Arabidopsis thaliana: one gene and its partner. The protein of the gene in region 1 interacts with the protein of each later gene in a pairwise test. Each region holds a gene or a part of one and is shown on either strand. Other genes may lie near its edges. The genes, in order: OEP16-3 and TIM23-2.

Region 1 (4,350 bases):
GTATGTTCAAGTTAAGGCTCGAGTGCTTACCAATATCGTTGTCTTCGTTGTAAATGAAGAGAGGAATATGGGAGCAAGATTTTATATGAGCTCTCTCGAATTGAGTCTTGTCTCTTACATCCACCACCGAGTAACCTTCTTCAGCTATTAACTGTTTTGCTTCTTCTGCATTCACGAATTTCAGCTCCGCAGCAATTCTCAAGCTTCTCCGGCGGATAACGTTCCCGGAGACACTCTTTCCCGCCCAGCTCACTGCTTTCAGTCGCCTCCCACCGACATTACTGCATCAGAAATCGAAACTGTTAACTTTATCTTGTTTTGGACGAGAACTCGCCAAGATTAAACAACTTGGCGAATTATACAAAGGAGTCAACTTTCAGTTGAGGGAACTAGTATTACCTGGTGAAATAAAGAGCCGTAGGGCTAGGGCTTATGATCCCCGCCATTGCAGCAGAGGTCTCTAGGAAAAAAACTCGTCACTGTGATGCGATAGTTACTTGGACAAGAACCACTAGATTAGCCATACCACAAGGAAATTTAAGATAGCCAATGAGTTATTGCCACGTATTCACTCTACTTTTACATGTAGATCTCCAAATCCATATCATCTGATTGTTATACATGTTACATGTTTGTTTCCTTATGCTTGTCATGTTCAAATCTATTATAGTTTCAGATAAAGAAACTAGCTTGAGGTTAACAGAAGCAAGCAAATGTCTGATTAAAATGATTACTGAAAGCTAAAACATTTGTTTACATCTGCAGACAAAGTTGAATTTTTATTGCAGGAAACATTCAGACAAAAGATGTGAGAAAGTCGCTCTCAAGAAAACAAGAAGAAACAAGAGCAAAGAGTATCATGATATCACATATCCAGATAAAATAAACAAAAGAGATTATCTCAAGATCCCCGGATCAGCGAATGCACATCTTATTAATCTCAGTGACCAAAAGAGAAATCAGGAATCAGCTTCAGCTCTTTTCTCGACGGTGTAAGGATAGTATTCTCTGCCATTGTCTACTCTTGTGGTCTGACCTCCAGAATCAATCAAAGCAGAGGTAACAGCTAGTGTTGCACCTGCAGCTATCGCTGTCGGGATGCTCCTTGCTGTAAAAAAAGAGGAAAACCAAAGTAAACCAAATAACAATTAAGTATAGCATCATAAGAATGCACGAATCTATAGCATCATCTCTCACTCAAAGCTATGTACTTTCGATCTTTACATATATATGATTTTGAGAGTTTCCTGTATACACTCAATATCAAAGTCTTGACACTTGTGCTATCCTATAGAATTGCTACACTAGGCACCAAATAACATTAACTTGAGGTAAGGAAGAATCAATTTCTTCCCATTACAATTCCTTTAGTTACTCCCACTCGAGATCATTGTTTGTCCATCAATAACTACTAAGCTCGTAAAACACATGAAGTGAACTACATACTGCTAATTCCAGTAACTTCAAATGGTCTTCACCAAAATCACATCAGTTCTAAACTACTTAACCATCGAGACATTGTTTTATGCAAACACAATGAAAACGAACGAACCATGAGTGAAGAAGAAAAACCATTACCTCTATAGCCAAGCACAGAAGCTCCAGCGACAAAACCACCAATAGCACCATTGTAAAAATCTCTCTTGGATCTAAAATTCTGAACCAGCTGTTCAACACCGATGTAAACACCTCCTATAGCAGCAAAAGTCAGCCCATGGGTTCCCATCATCTTCAGTGTTCTAATAAGTCCTGGAAGAGCCACATTTCTCTCCACTCTTGGAACATCTTTCCATGTGGCTAAAATGGTTCCGTAAATAGTCCCAGCACCAAAACCAGTGATACTACCTTTGATTGTCTTCATCAACGGACCATCCTCTTCTTCCAAATATCTCATTTCAGCTGGATCCATGATTTCTTCTACTGTTCTACCTAACGCACACAAGTTAAACATTCAACAGAGAACAAGATCAATCAACAAAAATATAAAAATGTGATTTTTACAAGATGCGGATTTGAAAGAATTTCACCAAATTGAAGTTTTCAAAGTCGCGGTCTTTACAAAATTATAAACCCATTTTCCAGATCTTCAATATAATCTGGTTTAAAGACCCAAATAGAGACATTGGATTGAAACAAAAATTCCGAAACCTAGTTTGTGAAAGCATTGAGCTCATCAAAGTTGTAACACAAGGAAAATAATGGAATCCATCACTAACAATAGAAGAAATGTTACAGAAGACAACGAAGAGAGATTATTGAAGGATTCAGGAAAGTCTAACCTTTGGAATTCGAAGAAGCGAAGGATGAGAGCGATTCAGTGGAGGAGCTCAATGAAATATGTTTTGTTGTTGTTCTTCAGGAGACGAGTCAGTAGAGCCAGAGAAAGCCCAATTACAAGAATCATACGGAAATTCATGTGGGCCTCTTAGGGCCCATTATATAGCCCATTTATGATATTCTCTCTTCACGTCTCTGTAGCAAAGCTCTGACGACCATGAAAGATGATGAGAGATCTTTAGGAAGAAAGGTCTCTATCATCGTCTTACTTTTACTGTTTCTGACGAAAGATTTTTATAAAGATAAGAATCATATTTGAAAAGCTGCCATAGTTAAGTTGTCTTCTGATGAGTATATATGGTTCAAGTTTTTTGAGGTTTCATTTGGAAACAGGGGAGCTAAATCCATAAAGGACGAATCTTTGAAAGTGGGTGGTTAGGGTTTTGGGGAAAAAGCAGTTCACTTCGTTGGTCGATAGATCTCTGAGTCTAATTAAGTGTTTAAGATGTTGAGTTTGAGCAAAGCTGATGATAATGCTATGGCTTAAGCCTTAAGTTAAAAGGTAATGTTAGCTCCTGCTTTGACTAATATACTAGGATGATTATAGATTCATTATATGGAACCTTGATGTGCTAAAGAAATCAATCTGATCTCATAACTTGGATTTTCATGGAGATAAAACAACAAATCAAAATCAAAAGCCATTATCTGGCAACAATTGTCTGGTTTATTGATAGCAGATAACAGAATAAACAAAGAAGCAAAAAGATAAGATATTGCAGAATCGTTCATTGTAAGAAGATTCTCTGATGCAAAGACAAGTCAGAGAGACCAGTTGGTATGGTGAGAAGAAGAGTCATAAGCCCTTGTGTTCTCATCTTCCATGTACTGTCTCCTACTTTGATGATGGTGATCAGATAACTCGAACTCACCCATTGCCGTGCCACTACTTATCTGACAATTATCTGGCTCGGTGTATCGACCTAAATTCAAAACAGGAGACATATCATTATCATTGTCCTTGAATACCCAAGGCGGGTTCAGATACTGATGCTGGCTAGGTGCAGGTGGTGGTTGAGCCATTGTAACCGTCATCGGGCCAAAACCTGAAGAAGCTCGCCATGTATTGTTGTTGTTGTTGTTGTTGTTGTTGTTGTTGTTGTTGTTGTCATGTGGTTGATGTGGATTTGACAGAAGAGAGAGAGCACAGTTTGAGTCGCCAATTCCCTTGTAGCTCTCTAGTTTAGTGTCCATAATCTCTGGAGATGAGAAGCTTGTCCCTCCTCCACCAACTGAACCTTGACTAAATACATTCATTGGATTGATCTGCCATGACGGTGACGACACTGGCCGCCTCATCACTCTTGTATCCAATGTTCTTGAACTTGGCCATCCTATCTCTTGGTTCCCAAGAAAGCTTCCATTCATTCCAGCATCACCATTTTCTGTAGCATATACATCTATCTTTTAAGGATGAAAAGTACATGAATCGGTCTTATGTGTCGAGCTTAAGGATCTAACCGTAAAGCGAAGGTGCGATCCTCCCGTAACGAGAAGCTAACACAGAGAGAGACGCAGGCTGTGGCTTCCTTCGTCGCTCATTATGACCAGCGAGTCTCCTGCGGCAACTCCTTTTCTCTAGGTCAAATTCCGGAAGCTGATGAAACCTATGTGATTGATTCAGATTGAGTTAACTTCAAAGAAAAGCAACATAACAGAACATTCCAAAGACAAGACCTCTCCACGTTAACTACCGTTTGTATACATTCTATCAGTCATTATAAGCTTTTGTCATCAGTTTTGAATTAAAATCTAAAACCACACACTTGTAATATAATGTAACAGAGTTCCTCAATGATCACGTCAATGATGCTATGGTACACTAGTTTTGTCCCCCTCAATAATGATATGACCTAAAGAAGCAAAAATGAGGGCAACGGCTTTCTTCTTGTCCATTCATTTCATATCTCTTTGGATTAGATATTTAGAAAGACAAAATCAAAAGAAAAATAAAAGAGAAGCATCTACAAGTAGACGTAAACATATTCCCAAAAATGAGCCCAACGAGTCCAA
Region 2 (3,916 bases), on another chromosome or scaffold:
ATTCTTTTAGTTTTGTTCATGTAAAATTCTACACTTTAAAGAAGACTTGTTTATTGATGTAAAGACCCTCATTCGAATGAAGAAATCAGACGAAATGTCATTTTGCAGGTACATGATCTTCTGAAACAAAACAAAAATTCTAAGCAAGCTGCAAAACTGAAAGTTTAAGGCTTTAATAAAAAGATTAGAGGACACTATTTGTTCTTCATTTAGAGCAGCTGATAAGGTCTAGAGACGGTAAGAGTTTAGAGAAGGTTTGCTACACAATATGCCTGAGACTTGAGAACCAAAAACCACAAAACCAAAAGTGACTGATCCATCATCATAAGCTTGTGAAATCTTGGAGACAAAATTAATAGCTAAGAGCAGAGAACAGTCCAGAGAAATAGAACCAGGGGGATATAATAGGTAACAAAATAACACCATCAAATATCAGGTTAGTACTCAATGAGATAAACAGAGGTATACAATTATGTGAACACACTACACCATCCCAATTAACAAAATGATAAGAAAAAACTTGAGAGAAGAGCTTCATTTTCAAATGTAATACAACACATCAGTTTCTCAACGAATCAAGAAAGAGTTAACATTGATCAAAAACAGAAACATAAAACACTAACTAGAACAAACACACTCATGACAAATTAAATTACCAATCGGCAAAACATTTAATCAGTATGAATATAAGAAAAAGGTTTGCAGGTTATTCTTCAAAGTGAAACTGCATTATGACTTGACATACAGACTTGTTGTACCTCTAGAAACCAAATAAAGTTTTCATTTTTATGATTCCAAGACATACCAAACCTATCAAATTCTCACCATTTCCCCTATCAAAAATTTCAACAACGACCCGAAAAAGAGTCTGCCAATTAGACTCTTGCAGTCTTCAAATGGGCACATACCGCTTCACAATTTGCTTCCCAGCTACAACAGCTCCAGCCGCAAGTCCACCAAGAGCACCAGCTACAGCTGCAGATCTCACTCCTCTCGCCGCTCTACAAACAGCTCCGGTTCCAAGACCAGCCACCACACTGGTCCAAACATCATCTCTATCCGTGGCAGCCACAATACCACTCTCGATCCCTGCGTAAACCAATCCAATGATACCAATCCGATTACCCCAAGTTCGACCAGTTTGACCAGAAGAGTTCAAGATCCTGTTGATTTTGAGCTTAGTAGTGTCGCCAGATTCGAAGCTTTTGACTCCAGTGATGACTCCAACAGAAGCTCCGGCAACGGAGCCACCGAGGTAAGCTGTTCCGGTGTAGAAAGTGAGATTCTCACCCCAAGATCTACGTTGCCTTAAAGCCTCCTCCGTGAAGAGAAACTCAGGGGAGGTAGGAAGCTTGTAAAGGTACTGAGATTTGTTGATTGGGACTTCGTAGTTTTGGTAAGGATTGTAAAGTCTTGTGTTTTCGTCTGACCCATGATCGGATCTGTTATTAGCCGCCATCGATGGAAGAGAAAAGTCTAGGTTTTAAGGATTTTGGTGGTGGCTAGAGAGAGAGAGACGACGGAGAGGAAAGAGAGAGAGAGAAACGTGTGATGATGTGGTTGTGTTGTGTCTCTCTGAATGTTTGGTTTGGTTGCCGAAATGAGAAATGAAACCAAACTAAACTAAAAATCTATGTTTAGGGTTTTTAGGGAAAGACTCAGTCCAGTTGTTTCCAGATACGCGCAGTACCAGATTCGCTTAATACTCGCGTTTACGTTTATTTCGAACTTAACCCCATTTATTTTATTTTCTCTATTTAAACCCAAGTTGGTTTTCTCTTACCACCACACACTGTATTTGCTGATATTTCGAATGTGACCCCATAAGTTTAATTTTTACAAAATTAACCTCTTCAACATTGGACTTTTCAAAGTCATACTTAATTACTTTGCAAAATTGCAATCCATCGTGACAACCAAACATCCTCGAATTTTCAGGTGTTTCTCTTATAATGTCAGAAATATTTTTACGACGAACGAACCTAATTTTATGAATTTTTTTTGTCATCAGTTTTTATTTAGAGAACTAAACTTCAAATAAAATAATTAAGGATTCAAATACAAAGCTTATTTGTTTTTAATTTAAGTCAAAAGGCCAAAAAAAAAAATTCGATTTAATTTCGAGAGCGTAAATAGAAGACAAAATAAAAAGCATAAATTCGGAAGTAAATAATCGAAAAAGTTTTGCAAACTGGAAACCTCCTCCCGCAGTCACACAACTGCGCAGAGCCAAAAATAAACGAAACCTCCGGCGAAAGCTACGGCGAAGAGACTGCGTCTAACTCCGTTTACACGCCGATTGTCTTGGAGAGAGAGAGAGAGCACGAGGTAAATCACGCAAGGGTTAGATGGGAAACCAGAAACTAAAGTGGACGGCGGAGGAAGAGGAGGCGTTACTCGCCGGAATCAGAAAGCACGGTCCTGGAAAGTGGAAGAATATTCTCCGGGATCCAGAATTCGCTGATCAGCTCATCCATCGCTCCAACATTGACCTAAAGGTTTCTCTTTTCTTCACTCACCTCTTTAAAATCACTCTCGTTGAACCATATATTAAACCTAGACATCGAATTTGAGACCAACCCGGAGTGCATTATGTACTCTGTCGTATCTGCTTAGTTTAAGATCCATAAAAAATCAAAACTTTTGGCAATAGGTTTTATTAGTGTTGCCTCTTATCATTGGTTATAGGATTAGAGATTCCTTGGATAGATTATAAGTTTTTTTTTTTATTGATTCAAGTGTGCAATACCTAAAGCTAGCTTGGTTGAGTTGGAGATTTGAGGTGGAAAGAGTAGTACTGTCCTTCATTTTGCTATGGATTTCTTTTACTTGGTGGTAGTCTTATGAAGAAGAGTTTGAAAATTTTGTGTGTTTCAATACTTAATAGGATAAGTGGCGTAACTTGAGTGTTCCCCCTGGTACTCAAAGTTTAACTAATAAGGCACGGCCAGCAAAAGTCAAAGAGGAAGGCGACACTCCGGCTGCAGATGCAAATGATGCTGTCACTATTCCACGGCCTATTCCTACTATTCCACCTCCTCCCGGTCGGCGTACTTTACCTTCTGAGTTGATCCCTGATGAAAATACAAAGAATGCTCCTAGGTTTGTCTTTCTTTGTTCTCTATTTCTCATACTTGAGGCCAGAAAGTATGATGAGAGACTAGTTCCATAAATGCTAGTCTATCAACTCTGAGTAATAATCTTCATCATGTATTGCTAAACTTCTGATATGTCCCTATTTTCAGGTATGACGGGGTGATATTTGAAGCTCTCTCTGCTTTAGCCGATGGTAATGGATCTGATGTCAGTTCCATTTATCATTTCATTGAGGTTTGACAAATTTCTCTCTGCTATTTATTATGCACAGATCAGAAAATTATATGTGCTCGCTTTGTAAACTACTTAACAGATTATTAGAGACATCATCTATATATGTGGGAGGGATAGTTATGTTATTGGCACGTGTAAACTCTATCTTACATTGACTTGTGCAAATGGCTTATTACTACTATCAGCAATCTTAGATGATTCGTCCTTCTCAAATGAGAACACCGAGTTCTAAATGTAAAGTCTTATACTACTAATTATTTGTACTTTGACGTTTTATAGTATGATAATACTTGTCGTGAAGCTGTCCACTATGCATATCTGAAAAAATGTTAGAACTCTTGATTTTACTTAAATTTGGTCACTTTCTGTTATTCTTTTATCACATTTGGCTATATAATAGCTTTTGTATTGGACCTTACGACTGAGTGCTAACAATGGTTTACTGTGGAAAGAGCAGCCCAGGCATGAAGTACCGCCAAATTTTAGAAGAATCCTTAGTACAAGACTGAGGAGGCTTGCAGCTCAGAGCAAACTTGAAAAGGTTAGCACCTTCAAATCTGTAAGTCTTGAATCTCACTTTTCTTGT

What was found.
Region 2: the proteins of OEP16-3 (region 1) and TIM23-2 interact in a two-hybrid assay, tested with the Arabidopsis thaliana proteins (one study listed by BioGRID).

What each region holds. Positions count from the first base shown.
Region 1 is NC_003071.7:17,588,201-17,592,550, reverse strand, and holds OEP16-3 (Mitochondrial import inner membrane translocase subunit Tim17/Tim22/Tim23 family protein), read right to left. Parts: upstream 2,301-4,350; 5' UTR 1,952-2,300; coding exon 1,579-1,951; intron 1,109-1,578; coding exon 960-1,108; 3' UTR 699-959; downstream 1-698. Other genes in the region: AT2G42220 (Rhodanese/Cell cycle control phosphatase superfamily protein), read right to left, coding at 31-281, 400-446; SPL9 (squamosa promoter binding protein-like 9), read right to left, coding at 3,100-3,722, 3,799-3,944. UniProt on the Arabidopsis thaliana protein: Voltage-dependent high-conductance channel with a slight cation-selectivity; selective for amino acids but excludes triosephosphates or uncharged sugars.
Region 2 is NC_003070.9:27,381,120-27,385,035, reverse strand, and holds TIM23-2 (translocase inner membrane subunit 23-2), read right to left. Parts: upstream 1,672-3,916; 5' UTR 1,481-1,671; coding exon of another isoform or gene 1,460-1,480; coding exon 893-1,459; 3' UTR 512-892; downstream 1-511. Other genes in the region: AT1G72755 (uncharacterized protein), read left to right, coding at 1,218-1,255, 1,453-1,480; AT1G72740 (Homeodomain-like/winged-helix DNA-binding family protein), read left to right, coding at 2,349-2,498, 2,888-3,102, 3,246-3,330, 3,788-3,889. UniProt on the Arabidopsis thaliana protein: Essential component of the TIM17:23 complex, a complex that mediates the translocation of transit peptide-containing proteins across the mitochondrial inner membrane. Links the inner and outer membranes.